2 linked regions of the Drosophila melanogaster genome follow. The protein of the gene in region 1 interacts with the protein of each later gene in a pairwise test. Each region holds a gene or a part of one and is shown in the gene's direction. Other genes may lie near its edges.

Region 1 (6,737 bases):
CCGAACTGGGAACGGAAAACGGGATGGGAATCGGATGGCATAAGTATGGGTATGCCATGGCAATGGGCATGGCCATCGGTATGGGGGATCTAATGAGGCCGTGACCTCATTCAGGCAGCAAGTCCTTGCCGGATCGCAGGTTCCCACACTGCACAACAATCGGAGTTAGCTGCCATAACTAGTTAGGCCAGCTCAGCTACGAATCGGGTTTTAATTTTCTTCATATATATATTTTGTGCCCGAAACTCGTGCCAATCGCGTGTGCACCGCACGCTTGCGCACCAGAGATCTCTCGACGCGACTTGACTCTGTTGCCTTTGGCCGCTATTAATCTTGGCTGAAACACCACCAGCACTTCCCTTACCCCACCAGCCCGCGCACTTTTGCCCCCAATCAGCGTCTAGGCTTTGAACTGCACGTTTGCCAAATTGAAAGCGACTGACTTGGCAACACGGACACCGGCTGAGACTCCAACTCGTAGCGCGACTTCCAAGCCAGCACCGACTCCAACTGCGATTGCGATTGCAGCTCCAACAGAGGCCAGCTTGTGCCTGGGCTTGTGCCTTTCAGCAACGGACTCTGGTAGTCGTTAGGCGATTCATACTCTCTCTTATATGGGTCTTTGGGACATATGAACATAGATTCAGGAAGATATGACTTTCATGATATGCTAGGAAACTGCTGTTATAATATTAATATTAAATATCATATGTTTACTTAAAATTTTTTAATTTACAGACTAGTACTAGTTATCTTAATGGGGACTTAATGTAATTTATTATATCTCTCAAGAGCATTGGCAATTCGCTAATCGATGACCCGTCAAGACTGCCTTTACCCATCAGCAACTATTTGGCTTTTAAGCTTTTGGTTCACACGACTGGCGATGGCAACAAGTTTTGTGCAAAACTATATATACATCGGCAGACAAACAGACGGGCATATATGACAAGCAATTAGTGTGCATTGAGGTTAGTCGAAAATGGTTTTGCGGTCTCTCTATTTCTGTCCATCGGTGTCTGCGTGATTATTTTGCATATTCGCATTACTCATACGCCACGTGTGCCGGTCGAGTTGAAAGTTGAGGCATCTTGAAAGGCGAACCATCGAAATGCCTTGAGAGTCTTAATTGTTATGGCTCCAGTCAGCAGAAAGGCAAGCCAAGTCAAGCCAAACGGCTAACGGAAGTCATGGCCAGAAGACAAACAAACAGAGCGATTCTGCAGCATCATGGGAAATGCTTAGCCAGGCAAAAAGCACGGCCACAAAAAATAACTCCGAGGCGTCCAACCACAAGTGTCATATTGCTGCGATGGTGATAAAGTCGGCCCAACAGCAGCTGTGAAAAAAGGGGCATAAAAAACAGGCAACATTTTATACACTCAGTGCTGACCAGTAGCCCTGAGATCAGCGAATTAAAAGAAATATGTGGAGGACGGGCGAAAAACGAATCTTAGAACGACAACCGGATGTTAAAGTTTATTACGAAAGGCGACAAATGCCGAAGGGTTGGTAATCGGACTATGCAAAAAGAGTTTTATTTCTTTCATTTTGGAACCCCCAATGCGCCGAGATAGCGAAACTGTTACACTTAATCGATACGCTTCAACGAAAAGTCAACCCACAGCCCCAGCCATAGTGGTGGTTGTGCACTGTGAGAAATATTTGAAAACTTAAAAAAAAAAACTGATTACATTTGAATTCGGTTATAAGTAAAATATCAAAATATATATATTTTCCATTCTTCCGAAATGGGGTGATCTATATTTATTGGTAATTAACATAGTTGCTGTTATTGAAATTGTTTCAAATCTACTTTAAACTCCCAAAAAGACCGCACATTTTGTCCACGTGCAGTTGTCGCAGTCATCATCATCAGCCAAGCATGCGACATAATTGCGCGAGTTAAGGCTGCCCCTCCACCCAGCCATCCCTCACCAGTTCGCCCACTGCCCCCCATTGGCGGCTGACAGTCAACCCGCTTGAAATCAACCAGCAGCAACAGCAACAACATTTCAGCAATCCATCGGATCGCATCACAATCCAGCCATCCGTCCAACGTGTGGGAAACACACGACAAATCTGTTTCCCACGGTCTCGTAAAGTAGGCACACCGCACACACACACAAACACCCATCCCCATCCACTGAGCCATGGGACCCACAATCACATAGGCTACTGCCTCGTAGGCTCCCTCGTGTCTCATTCTCATTGTTGGTGTGAGCGGTACGGAGCAGCGGACTTCGACAGCGAATGGGAGCCGAGCACTGTCATCATTGACAATAAGTATGACATGGATGAGGGGGGATGGAGGGCGGGGTGGAGCGGCCTGAGAGACACGCGCAGTCGCCGAGAATGAGATCCAATCCGAAAGCCGACTGTCGACTGCCGACTGCTCAGTTTCCCTCTGGCCATGCAATCAATTGAAGACGACGCGCGCCAGAGCACCAAAGCTGCAGATACAGATACATTTGTATCTGCGGCGGGGCACGCTCTCGCTCGCTCCCATTGCATGCACCTTGGTTCGAAGTCGACTAGTTTCGGTTAATAATACTAATTTTGGACTAATAGTATTACTTTCAATAAGCAGATTTTACGAAAATAATTGCAGTTTTATTAACTTTGTAAGTGATTAATATTTTTTGAAATTGCTTTCTTTCAGGTCTTAAAATTTAGCAAATTTTTAAATCGTCCTTTTGGTTGAACAATTATGTTGCATACTTTTGAGAGTCATATAAAAAATAGTTGTAGCAAAATATAAAGAACACAAATTTAACACTATTGGAAATGAAAAATATTGATATTATATTCGCATTGCTAAAATGGATTATTTCTTATTTTTTATAATAAGCATAATTAAGAAGGTAAAGAGTTCCATGGTGATGGTCCCACTGTACCCCCTGCAGACGGTACAACCCCCATCATCGATGGCCTACAGTAGCCTCTCTTTGTGCCGCTGCCGAGCGCCGCTACCGATCCGCGACCGAAAAGAACCGAAGTGGAACTCGATCTTGGGCCCGAGTGCCTGGGAGCGTGTGTGAGTGATCATGCGGGAGCTTTGTGGCCGGGAGAGCCTGATCCCCGTTTGCCGGGAGAGCGTGGCTGTCATATAAAAGTAGGGCTGGGAACTAGTTTGCCACTCATTTCGTAAAAGTGCCGCCACTCGAACGCACCGCAATCGGTGGAACGCGCAACGCACGCGCAACAAACTCGTCAAAAAGTAACCAATCTATGAAACCAACCAAAATCAGTAGTGATAATGTGCAGTTGAGAGACTAAATACAAAAGAACAATCCTTAAAATACACAACATAAAACAACCCAATCGATCATGGTCATGGAGATGTCCAAGACGTATCAGTACCGCAAGGTGATGAAGCCGCTGCTGGAGCGCAAACGGCGAGCCAGGATCAACAAGTGTCTGGACGATCTCAAGGATCTGATGGTGGAGTGCCTGCAGCAGGAGGGCGAGCACGTCACCCGGCTGGAGAAGGCGGATATCCTGGAGTTGACCGTGGATCACATGAGGAAACTCAAGCAGCGGGGTGGTCTTTCGCTGCAGGGAGTAGTGGCTGGTGTTGGCAGCCCACCCACCTCAACCAGTACCGCCCACGTGGAGTCCTTTCGCTCCGGCTATGTGCATGCTGCCGATCAGATTACCCAGGTCCTGCTGCAGACACAGCAAACCGATGAGATTGGGCGCAAGATAATGAAATTCCTATCGACGCGACTAATTGAGCTGCAGACGCAGTTGCTCCAGCAGCAGCAGCAACAGCAACAACACCAGCAGCAGCAAATACCGCAATCATCAGGCCGCCTAGCCTTCCCGCTGCTGGGAGGATATGGACCGGCAGCCGCCGCTGCCGCCATTAGTTACAGCTCCTTCCTGACCAGCAAGGACGAACTGATCGATGTGACATCCGTCGATGGCAATGCGTTATCCGAGACGGCGTCGGTTAGCTCGCAGGAGTCCGGCGCCTCTGAGCCCGTCTGGAGGCCCTGGTAATTGGGCGTGCCCAATATGGATCTTATCCCTAATATTATAATCGCAACCCAAAAAAATGGCTATTGACCGTTCTGCAACAAGATCCGTTGTCTTCCAAAGTAAATCATATCAACCTAAGTTAATTGAGGTCTAATCGATTTCTGAATGGTTTTGAAATACTTTTAGTTTTAGTTCCGATAATGGTAATTTGTAAATTAATTGTTTAATTTCAACTGTGATATAACTAAAGTACGTTGATCAATCAATCAGTGAATATATATTCGAGTGCGCTATTTTCCTACTCCAAAAGTTCCCTAAGTTTAATATCTCGTTGCGCTCTCTTTATTGTTTAGCATATATTAAGCTTTAAATAATTTATAAATGTTAATTTATGATTAGTTGAGAAAGAATAATCAAAAATACACTACCCAAATAAAATAAATGATTTAAATTGAAAACACAATGTTTTTCTTTTGCGGGATTTCAAAATTTTATAAAATATTTATTTTGTTATATTAATAAATATAAACAAACTGAACGATATTATGCAAACCTAACGGAATACTGTTCATTCTTGTCCCAGTCCGCCAATGTTGTTTACTGCCCCAATAAATTACCTTTAATTGAACATCACCTCAAATGTATGCAACACATTTTCGACTCGACCCTGATTCATTCCCATAAGCAGATCATCTAATTGGAGCCTGTTCTTACCACCAATCTGATCGGCAATCAACAGATCCTCTCTACCTGCCCGATAACTGGTTGGCATTGTGGTCCAAATCAACAGGCCAAACAACAACCGTCAATATGCACTACCTGCTGGCAGGTAAATTGATCAACAATAAGACCAAAAAAGGTTCAGGATCGAATCGGATTAGGGTCCGCTCGTTTTTCAAATGAGTCATGCCAATTAAGAAAGGACTTCGCTCCCCATTTATTTTCTGTGTTGATTTGTAAACGGAAAATTGTTGGAACAATAAGGGGGAAACAAAGAATTTAGATTCCTATTCAATTATTTTTTTTTTGGGTGAAATGTAACACAATTTTTGGTAAAGATTACCAATTTCCAAATGTGTGATTTAAGAGAAGGCCCATTTCATACGATTTATCAATGATTAAAAGTAAAAAAAACAGTGGTTGATTTCATTTAAATTGTATATATATTTTGATTTTTTTGTGTTTGTTAAGTAAAATGTATCACAATTTTTGTAAAGCTCTTCAGTTGAGTTGATCGGCTTGCGTGTTAATTTTTGTGGAATGGTTTCAAAAATTAACGGAAGACGTTGATTAAAGCTGGAGATCCAATGGAAGACATAGTTGCCGGATGATGGATGCAGGTTGCAGGACGCTGATATTTTTTAGGCCTGAACCCAACGATCCTGGGGGATAGCGATGGCGTTGGAGGTGCTGCAGTAGAGGGGCTCGACGAGGTCGTTGTCGGCTGGCAAATCGGAGACGGCGGTCCAGAAGAATGTGCCGTGAGCGGTGCGGACGAAGTGAACGGGAACGGTGGGCAGTTGCTCGAAGTCGTAGTCCTCAATTTCGCAGGACTGGGAGAGACGCTCGTTGGCCTCGTTCTCGCAGGACTCCAGAGAGGCGCAGATGGAGGCGGATTCCAGATCGGCGTTGCGGCTGTTTTCCATGGATTCCAGAGACTCCAAAGAGTTGGCCTTGAGGGCGTTCTTGAGGTTCTGCTCCTCCTCGACGCGCTGTTGCTGCTTGAAGATCTTCTGCAGCAGTTTCTTCACGCTGTAGGACAGCTTCTTGTTCGATTTGATGGTCATGGTGTTGTTGGTGTTGATCTTGTTCTGGCACATGATGATGTGTTTTGGAATTTTGTGTTTAGCTGCTGTGTAGCTGAGATGTGTACTGTACGAAGCGTTGAGCTCGAATGATGCCTGATCCTCCGAGCCAGGGTCCTTTTATACTCGCCAGGACGTGGAGAAACCCGAAGCCGAGCAGGTCACAAAACACCGAGTGTGGGAAACTACAAGGATACGTGTCCCGAAAAATCCTATACACAGTGCGGATACATGGCGAGGCAACAACAAAAACGGCAGGTGTGTTTTTCGAAAAGGGACTGCATCGGCATTAACCTGCGTGCGTCGGAGTGTGACGGCATGTAGTGTCGCTCCGCTCGCACCTGTTGAAGGTGCGGGCAATTTTATCCTGCTGCAGGATCGTGAGAAACGAGACTTTCTACCAGTTCCCACAGTTTCGGTTCGAAAGGATCCTTTTTGACAAGGAGATTCGTTTTTTTCCCTTTTTCTGCCGATCACTTTTGGTTTTTATGTGCACTTATCTCATTATGTAGGCAGTGCGAGCGGGACGGACAATGATGGAGCCGGGGGGCGGGGGAAATCCGTTTTCCATTTCTCGAACACGTGTGCAGCTCGAGAACGTGGGAGAATATTTTCAATTTTCAACGCTCGAACGGAGGCGAACAATTAATGCCCGAAACCAGAAGATAAAATAGCTCAATAGGCAAACAATCCGTAGAATTTGATGGAGTAGGGGGCACACAGATCCCAGACGAGGGACCAGGAATCCTTAACTGCGAGCATTTAATGCGCTGTAATTTGAAATTTATCAAATTGTATGTGGAGGCGAGGCGTTGCCCGAAGGAGCGAGATGGCAAAGGAGCTGGAGGACAAGGATCGTCGACGAAGGAGTTGCTTTTAATTTCTGTTGCTGATGGCACACAATTAGCAGGGGACCGATTCGTATTATGATGGGTAAAAAATATGTAA
Region 2 (8,010 bases), on another chromosome or scaffold:
GTTGCTCTAAAGGGAGCGAGACAGCAAGCGTAGAAAGAGATCTGAGTTCAATCGCAGAGCAGAAGAGACGAAGGGCAGAGCTGTTGAACGATTGCTGTGCAGCAGGAGCAGATGTTTTTCGCGGCAGAATGACGATGCAGGATCGCTGGCGATCAGCGACCCCAGCACGGGACACGATACATACGGAATATACGGAGCTCTATGTATATGAACATAACAAAGGGCATTAGAGCGGGAAGGGGCTAACGACAGGGAGCCAGAGCAAATGCGAGGGAGATCCACAAAACTTGTTTTTGGGATAAACTCAAATTAGACCAAGAAATCATTTAACGTGCAATAGAAATTTCGAGGTATGTACGAAAATGTAATGTTAAAAGGCCTGCCTTAGCTATAAAATATTTTCTCATTTTTAACGTATGCTTAAATGAACATACACCGCACATATGTACATATACTCTTAGCTTTTCCACTGTGTATTGCCTAAATTATAGTCCTCCCTTATGTACCCTTAAGCCTCGAGCGAAATATGTCCAGATTTGATCAGGATCGATACCGGATAAGATAGAAACAGCACCTAGCTCAAAAGAGAGGGGAGCAGTAGGGGAAGAGAGTAAGCGAGAAAGGAGATGAGAAAGGAAAAATGAGAAGCCAGGTGAGGGTGAGGATAATTTATTATTGCTCGGATACCCCCGAAAGCGCGCCAAAGGTCCCCGATACCCTAAAATCCAAAGACCATGCGTTTGGTCGAAGTGTCCCCGACACACAGAGAAAACTATACAACACGTACGCACTCTTCGACTGTTTAAAAATGGATTAATATAAGATGGTGTCCTTAGTTAATATAATAAATATATTACAAAAATATAAGTGTTTAAAAAATTTGAATAATGCTTGTAATATTAGATATCACTATAAAAGAAGAAAAGACGTGCCAATCCGGCTACAAAAAAAGATCCATTACAAGAACACGACGACGGAATGCGTATTTATTTCTTGCATGATTCACCACATTTATTTCAAGATGGTTTTTTTCTGTGTAGGATCTCAGGTAGAAGACACACAGACACTCACTCACATTTATGTAGAGCACAAGGCACGTGCGCGATCTGAAAACAATTTACCACTCCGATCAGCGTGAATTGTGAGTTTCACTTTAAAGTCGAATGCAGTTTTTAAATAGAAACTCGCTATTTCCCCATGTATTGTTTAAAAGAGGTATTAAAACAGCCCGCACCCGCTCATTTTTGCTGCAAGGACGGGACACAGTTTGCCGCTAAATAAATAGCAGAAATGATTCGGGAGTAACTCTTTTCCTTAATTTTTTGGCTAATTTTATTTAGTTTATAGTTAGAAAGAGTTACATATCTGTACACCGGTCACTTGTAACTCGTTCACGATCCGATGGGGGGAATATGTAATAATTAGAAGGCATCGTCACAAACATTTCCTTAAACAATGTCCCAAAAATGGTGTTCACCCGTAGAGCGAGTCCTTTTGTGTAGTTCTCGGCTGGGGTCCTTTCACTTTTCCCCCAGTGCTTGACTCCAAAGTTATTTCAAGGACTTCCACGGAAAGACTTCCGTTCCATCAAGTTTTCAACACTCATAACTCGAAAGACGAAATAATAATATGAAAAAACAAGAAGCGGTAAAACAATTTATGAACGAACAACTGTGCACAGATGCTAAATGATGAAGCATCCTAAAGGATCCACTTGAGTCAACGACGAGTACACACAGAATATGGGCCCAGGACATATTCACCCGGCGCCTTTCTCCGGTTACAAAATGGAAAAAGAAGAGGGAACTTAAATTTTGGAAAATCAAAGCGACTTGCATGCGTTGGCAGATTGATTTACGATTTTGGAGGGTCAAGCCAAATAGAACGACTTCAGGTTTCAGTAAATCATGGAGGATCCAGTATGTTTCCACGCTAGCGTCAATTCCGTTTACTCATCTGTTTCATTACCATTTGGCGTTTCTCTCGTCGAAAGATATTTTCCCATTGAAATCAATGCGTTTTTAAAATGCAAATAAACCAGAAACCAGAAACCATTCATAAATTGTATTTGCCTAGATTGGAACATTTCGATCCGCCAAAGATAACAGCCAAAAAAATATATAAAAAAAAGAGTGACAGGACTACAACGCAGGTTCTTAATTTTACGAACGTGGGAGTAAATTCGAAAAGGTATGCCGCGTCTTGGGGCAAAACTTTTTTGAAACCGTTTACATGTAATATTTTTGGAATCGCTACTTTTATGTATGGTTAATTTAATTATGAACTATTTTCTTGCAGTGCACGAAAGGCGTGGCTGGGGCAAGGAACAGTTCCTTGAGATGAGTGCTGCGATGCGTCGTCAAAGTGGGACGCAACCGAGTCAAATCCTCTAGGACAACAAAGGACGCCGAGCAGTACTTCCCAGTACTCAAATACTCCTCAGTACGCACAAGCGTTGACTCCTTTTTCTTTGAGAGCTCGTCTGCATAATGAGGAATGAGGACGTGGCATCCTGGATCAAAAACCGGTAGTCGGTCGTCGCAAGTTTCTTCTCCCCGCCGGTTATCCTGCGCTCAAGTCCTTTTCCTTGAACCTTTTAAGTGAACTCAAGTTTATAAATTGTGCAGCAAGTACAACACACACACATATGTATACTCCTCTATTTACTCAGGTTTGTTGGAAACTACCTGAGAGGAAGGATCAAAAAAGTTTATTGTAGCACTCGAAAACTTGTTTGCACAGATAGACCTAAGCTCCAAAAAAAAGAATAGATTATAGAAATAAAGCACTGGTAAAATTATTTTCCCACCGGACTAATTGCCAGAAATTTTTTGCCAGACGTAGAAAAAACAAGAATGTAGAGAAGGATGGGTGATTTCTCACCCCTTAAAGGATTTAAATTGGCTCTCTGGCATCTTGTCAATTTCCAACATAAATTGTAGCCCTGTGAATTACCTAAGACATTACTTTCGCAGTATATACTTGCTGTTTATTAGCTTAACAATAGGAAAATGTTTTTGCCAATGCAAGTCCTGGTAAATATATGTATATATTATCCAGTACGAGTTTTTGAAAAGTTAACAATAGGTGATCCCGAGACATTTTTCGAATGAAGTAGAAACCAGTCCTTGGTTTTAGCTATAAGCTAAAAATAAAGATTCGATGCATTTCTGCGTTTTACATGACGAATATTGGAGGTCTAAGGTGATCTATTAGGATATTTTGCAAATTCCTAGGTGGTAGGGCATTCCTTGAAAACCAGGGCTGAAAAAGCTCCCCAGGGAATATACTTTTTATTATATGCATACGTATATGGTTATTATAATGTCCATATATTAATAGGGGCGGTATATAAGCATAATGTGTTTGCTGCCGATAAATAATGAGAGAGAGCGTGGCGAAATCCACCCTTGAACCAGGTGGACTTTTTGGCTCGAGTTGATCAGATGTTAGTTTTCCCAAAAGCCGTACTGTATATAATATATATATATGATAAAGGTGTATGTGTGAGCGATCGAGAAGGGACACCCAGTCTAGGGGATGAAAAGTCAGGCCCTTTACATAAGGGATACGCAGGACCTCAAATGCCTTCTGTTTTGTATGTGTGTGCTCTGTGTTGTGTATGTCAGTCAACGAAGTCACTTCCGTTGGGTTTGCGTTTTAGTTTGAGTTCGGAGTTTAGGGGCACGCGACACAGAGCGCCAGCAGCTGTCCTGATGCAAGGACACGGAAACCATATTACATCAGTCACCAGTTAACATTCACTCAAGAAGGACTAACTTGCTAAAAGTACACCCGCAATCGCCACCAGTTTTTCTCCCGCCCTCAAAAAGCCACGAATCAAAAAACTTAATTATGGCCGCCTTAAGCTTCAGCCCATCACCTCCTCCAAAAGAAAACCCCAAGGAAAACCCCAATCCAGGAATAAAAACCACGTTGAAACCTTTTGGAAAGATTACCGTTCACAATGTTTTAAGTGAGAGTGGCGCCAACGCCTTGCAACAGCATATAGCCAATCAGAACACCATTATTCGAAAGATCCGGGACTTTGGCATGCTGGGCGCTGTTCAAAGTGCCGCAGCCAGCACAACTAACACCACACCCATATCCAGTCAACGGAAGAGGCCCCTGGGAGAATCCCAAAAGCAGAACCGGCACAACCAGCAGAATCAACAGCTTAGTAAAACATCAGTGCCTGCTAAAAAATGCAAGACCAACAAGAAGTTGGCGGTTGAAAGGCCCCCAAAAGCAGGAACTATAAGCCACCCTCATAAAAGCCAAAGCGATCAGAGTTTTGGGACTCCTGGAAGAAAGGGTTTGCCTTTGCCACAAGCCGTTGCCCGTAGAAACGCTAGGGAAAGAAATCGCGTGAAGCAGGTTAACAATGGATTTGCTTTACTCCGGGAGAAGATCCCAGAAGAAGTATCTGAGGCTTTTGAGGCCCAGGGGGCGGGTAGAGGAGCAAGCAAGAAGCTATCCAAAGTGGAGACCCTCCGCATGGCCGTAGAGTACATAAGAAGTTTGGAAAAACTGCTGGGATTTGATTTTCCACCTCTCAACAGTCAGGGGAATAGTTCTGGTTCCGGCGATGATAGCTTTATGTTTATTAAGGACGAATTCGATTGTCTGGATGAACATTTCGACGACTCGCTGAGCAACTACGAAATGGATGAGCAACAGACTGTCCAACAAACTTTATCCGAGGATATGCTAAACCCTCCGCAAGCCAGTGATCTCCTGCCTAGTTTGACTACATTAAATGGGTTGCAATACATCAGAATACCAGGAACCAACACCTACCAACTGCTGACGACTGACTTATTGGGCGATTTGAGTCACGAGCAAAAACTTGAAGAAACAGCTGCTTCGGGCCAGTTATCGCGATCGCCCGTGCCACAAAAGGTGGTAAGAAGTCCCTGCTCTTCTCCAGTTTCACCTGTCGCCTCGACTGAATTGCTGTTACAGACACAGACGTGTGCCACACCGCTGCAACAGCAAGTAATCAAACAGGAATACGTCAGTACCAACATTAGCAGCAGCAGCAACGCACAGACTTCCCCGCAGCAGCAGCAGCAAGTTCAGAACCTGGGATCGTCGCCTATTTTACCCGCGTTCTACGACCAGGAGCCCGTGAGCTTCTACGACAACGTAGTCCTTCCCGGATTCAAGAAGGAATTCAGCGATATTTTGCAGCAAGATCAGCCCAACAATACAACCGCTGGCTGCCTTTCGGACGAGAGCATGATCGATGCCATTGACTGGTGGGAGGCACATGCACCTAAATCTAATGGTGCATGCACCAATCTGTCCGTTTAGCCGAATTTTTTCACATCACGCATCTCGGAAAAGCCGATTGCATTTTTTGGCATACTTTTTAAATGATTTTAAATCCTCACAGCATAAGTCTGTGGCAGGCCATTCTATCTAAAGTTTTTTTTAATCAAGCCATGACTGAGTCATTGTGTAAATATCAATTTAAGCCGAGAAAGGAGGATAACTTCGGCCAGCCGAAGCTTATATACCTTTGCTGTTAAAACCATGTATTTAATATGAAAGTTCGCACAATTTCGATGAAGTTTATCACAAATTTACGATTTCATCAAGATTTGTATATTCTCCAAATTCTATAAAATATATGTACATTTTTGATTCTTGCTATGGTACTTGTACGTATGATATTGTTGATCGATCCTGCCCGAGTCACCTTTTATATCACCAGACATGCCGATCATGAATATTTATTGATGTGGGGTCGGAAATGCCTCACTGCTACCTTCAGACATATTATAATATCCTCTGAAAGAGTGTGACAAAATGAATGTATGAACACTACATATTTAAAGTCATCTAGTGATATAAACCAAATGGAAATAACCTTGTAAGACCCAACCACAAAATAGTTATCCTGATAAACGGCTTAATGTTGAGCCGGACTAACAGAGTGTCTAGTATATAACAAAAATTAATGTATTTGTGTAACCATATTTTTTTTTTATAGATTTAATTGTAGGAACGTTAAAATGACAAGCAGATAATATATGCTTTTGAATAAATGCAAATAAATATGAACATTTCCAAAAACTTAATTTGTTTCTTGTGGTTTTATTTCTCAACGAAAATTAGGTATATTAAATGACAATTTATAATTTGTACCACATTTTAGAAAAAAAGGTGTTTTATATTTTAGAGAGTGTCTTATGGCACAGTATATCTCCGGTGCTTTATTGACTCGATATTCAAAATGGGGTTCCTTCTGTGACAGAATGACAGAATTCGGATTTTTTTCTAGCGGTTCTTTTTTAAACATGTGCCTTGATTCATAATGACACAAGTAATTAAAAACGCACCAAAATAAATATTAGGGAAATTGAGAGAAAGCGGTTTTAGGGTGAACTATTATTTAGGACCTAACCGGCAACCGCAAATCAAACGAATTGCTTTTAAAAATAGAGTCTAGTCTGTCTGTCCTCATAGAAGTCAAGAAGTGAAAAGCCAAAACAGCTTGAAATTCCAATAGCGGCTACAAACTTGAAGTTGTTTTAAAACCTTGTCATGCTCACCACACAGACCCTCATTAACATTTGGAAAATATTTTCAATGATATTTAAGGGAATGGTAATATATTTTTTTATACAAAGTTGCCAAGCCTTCACGCACGTCTTTTATTTTGCACGATATTTACTCACCCTCACTTTTACTTGGCGCTATACTCTCCTGCCAATTGTGCTCAGGACTTCATTGTCCTGTGCTTACGTGTTCTCATGTCTCTCTACCCGTCCCTTTTTTTGGGACATCTGCCCAAATAAAACAAAACGGAAGAAAAACCAAAAAAAAAAAAAAATAAGAAAGGGCCGGTCCAATGGATATGGATGATGCAAAACTACATAAGACAGGCATACTGTAAGGAAAATCAATTGAAATCGTTTTCCATTAAGAATAGATGGCCTGTGCCAAATGATATTCGCATCTGCAGGATCCGAAAACCAAAGAAATCTAAGTAGTACACTGAGGAAACAACACGATCTATTTTGAGGTCGAAATTACAAGGCGAGGCATTTTTTCCTCCATTACTATTTTTTTTTTTTCGCTGTGTATATGTATGTGTTGGCGCGCTCCTGAGCGCCTGAGATCGCCTGCAACCCCCTTTTTCAACAGTTTTCAGTTTTTCCATCCAGGTGCAAAGGTGTTTTCCTATCATTCTTTTTTTGGTCGTGTGGTGGGTGCGCCGTTCACCGTTAGCAGTGAAAATTGTTCACGCACCGTTATAATTATTAAATATTGGTAATGCGACACGCCCCTCAACCGTACACCTCCGAGTTTGGGTCGAATTTCGCATTTTTACTGTTTGAACTGGGAAATCATTGCCGTTATGTGCGTCTTTTTGTTGTTTGTGTTTTTGGTGAATGTTAAAGGCTTAGCACCGATAAGGAATATGAGCCCTATCGTATCCTTCGATCGGCAGATTTGCTTTCGTAGCTCTGGGTGCTGCAGTCGCTTTAAGTTGTGCCCCCATTATGCCATTTAGACCACGCCTCTATGAATGCATTATTACTGAATGCCGTCTGTTTTTAAGTTCACTTTAGCGTGTGCGCATGCTCTTGCCGCTGACTTGATTGGATTCACCCCTACTTCTCTGATCCACTGACTATCCAATTTCTGGGCACATTGCACTGCAGTTATCCCGGGAACCAGATGCTGCCTTTGACCCGCCGAATCCGAGTTGGCTCGATGGATCTCGTAATTGAGATAGGTGACACGAAAAAAAAAATAATTTCTTCGAATTTTAAATCTTTAATAATTTTTGGAAAACCATGTCATCTAGCAATCATTACCTTCGCTTATTGTATATTCAAAGAAAACGGTAATGGTTTTGAGGTCTGATCCGCTGATCCCCAGTAACCAGTTGGCAAGGTTATATTTTCATTCAAGGATTTCATCCTTCCGTTTCATTCAGCATTGGACCAAAGAGAGACTTCTCTGGCAAATAGTATTCGTAATACTGTGTCTTCC

Evidence for each region. Proteins that work in one complex are often made in the same cells at the same time.
Region 2: the proteins of E(spl)m3-HLH (region 1) and ase interact in a two-hybrid assay, tested with the Drosophila melanogaster proteins (one study listed by BioGRID).

What each region holds. Positions count from the first base shown.
Region 1 is NT_033777.3:26,018,690-26,025,426, forward strand, and holds E(spl)m3-HLH (enhancer of split m3, helix-loop-helix), read left to right. Parts: upstream 1-3,133; 5' UTR 3,134-3,330; coding exon 3,331-4,005; 3' UTR 4,006-4,438; downstream 4,439-6,737. Other genes in the region: E(spl)m4-BFM (enhancer of split m4, bearded family member), read right to left, coding at 5,346-5,804.
Region 2 is NC_004354.4:457,101-465,110, forward strand, and holds ase (asense), read left to right. Parts: upstream 1-3,646; 5' UTR 3,647-3,855; coding exon 3,856-5,316; 3' UTR 5,317-6,076; downstream 6,077-8,010. UniProt on the Drosophila melanogaster protein: Involved in the determination of the neuronal precursors of optic lobes in the central nervous system.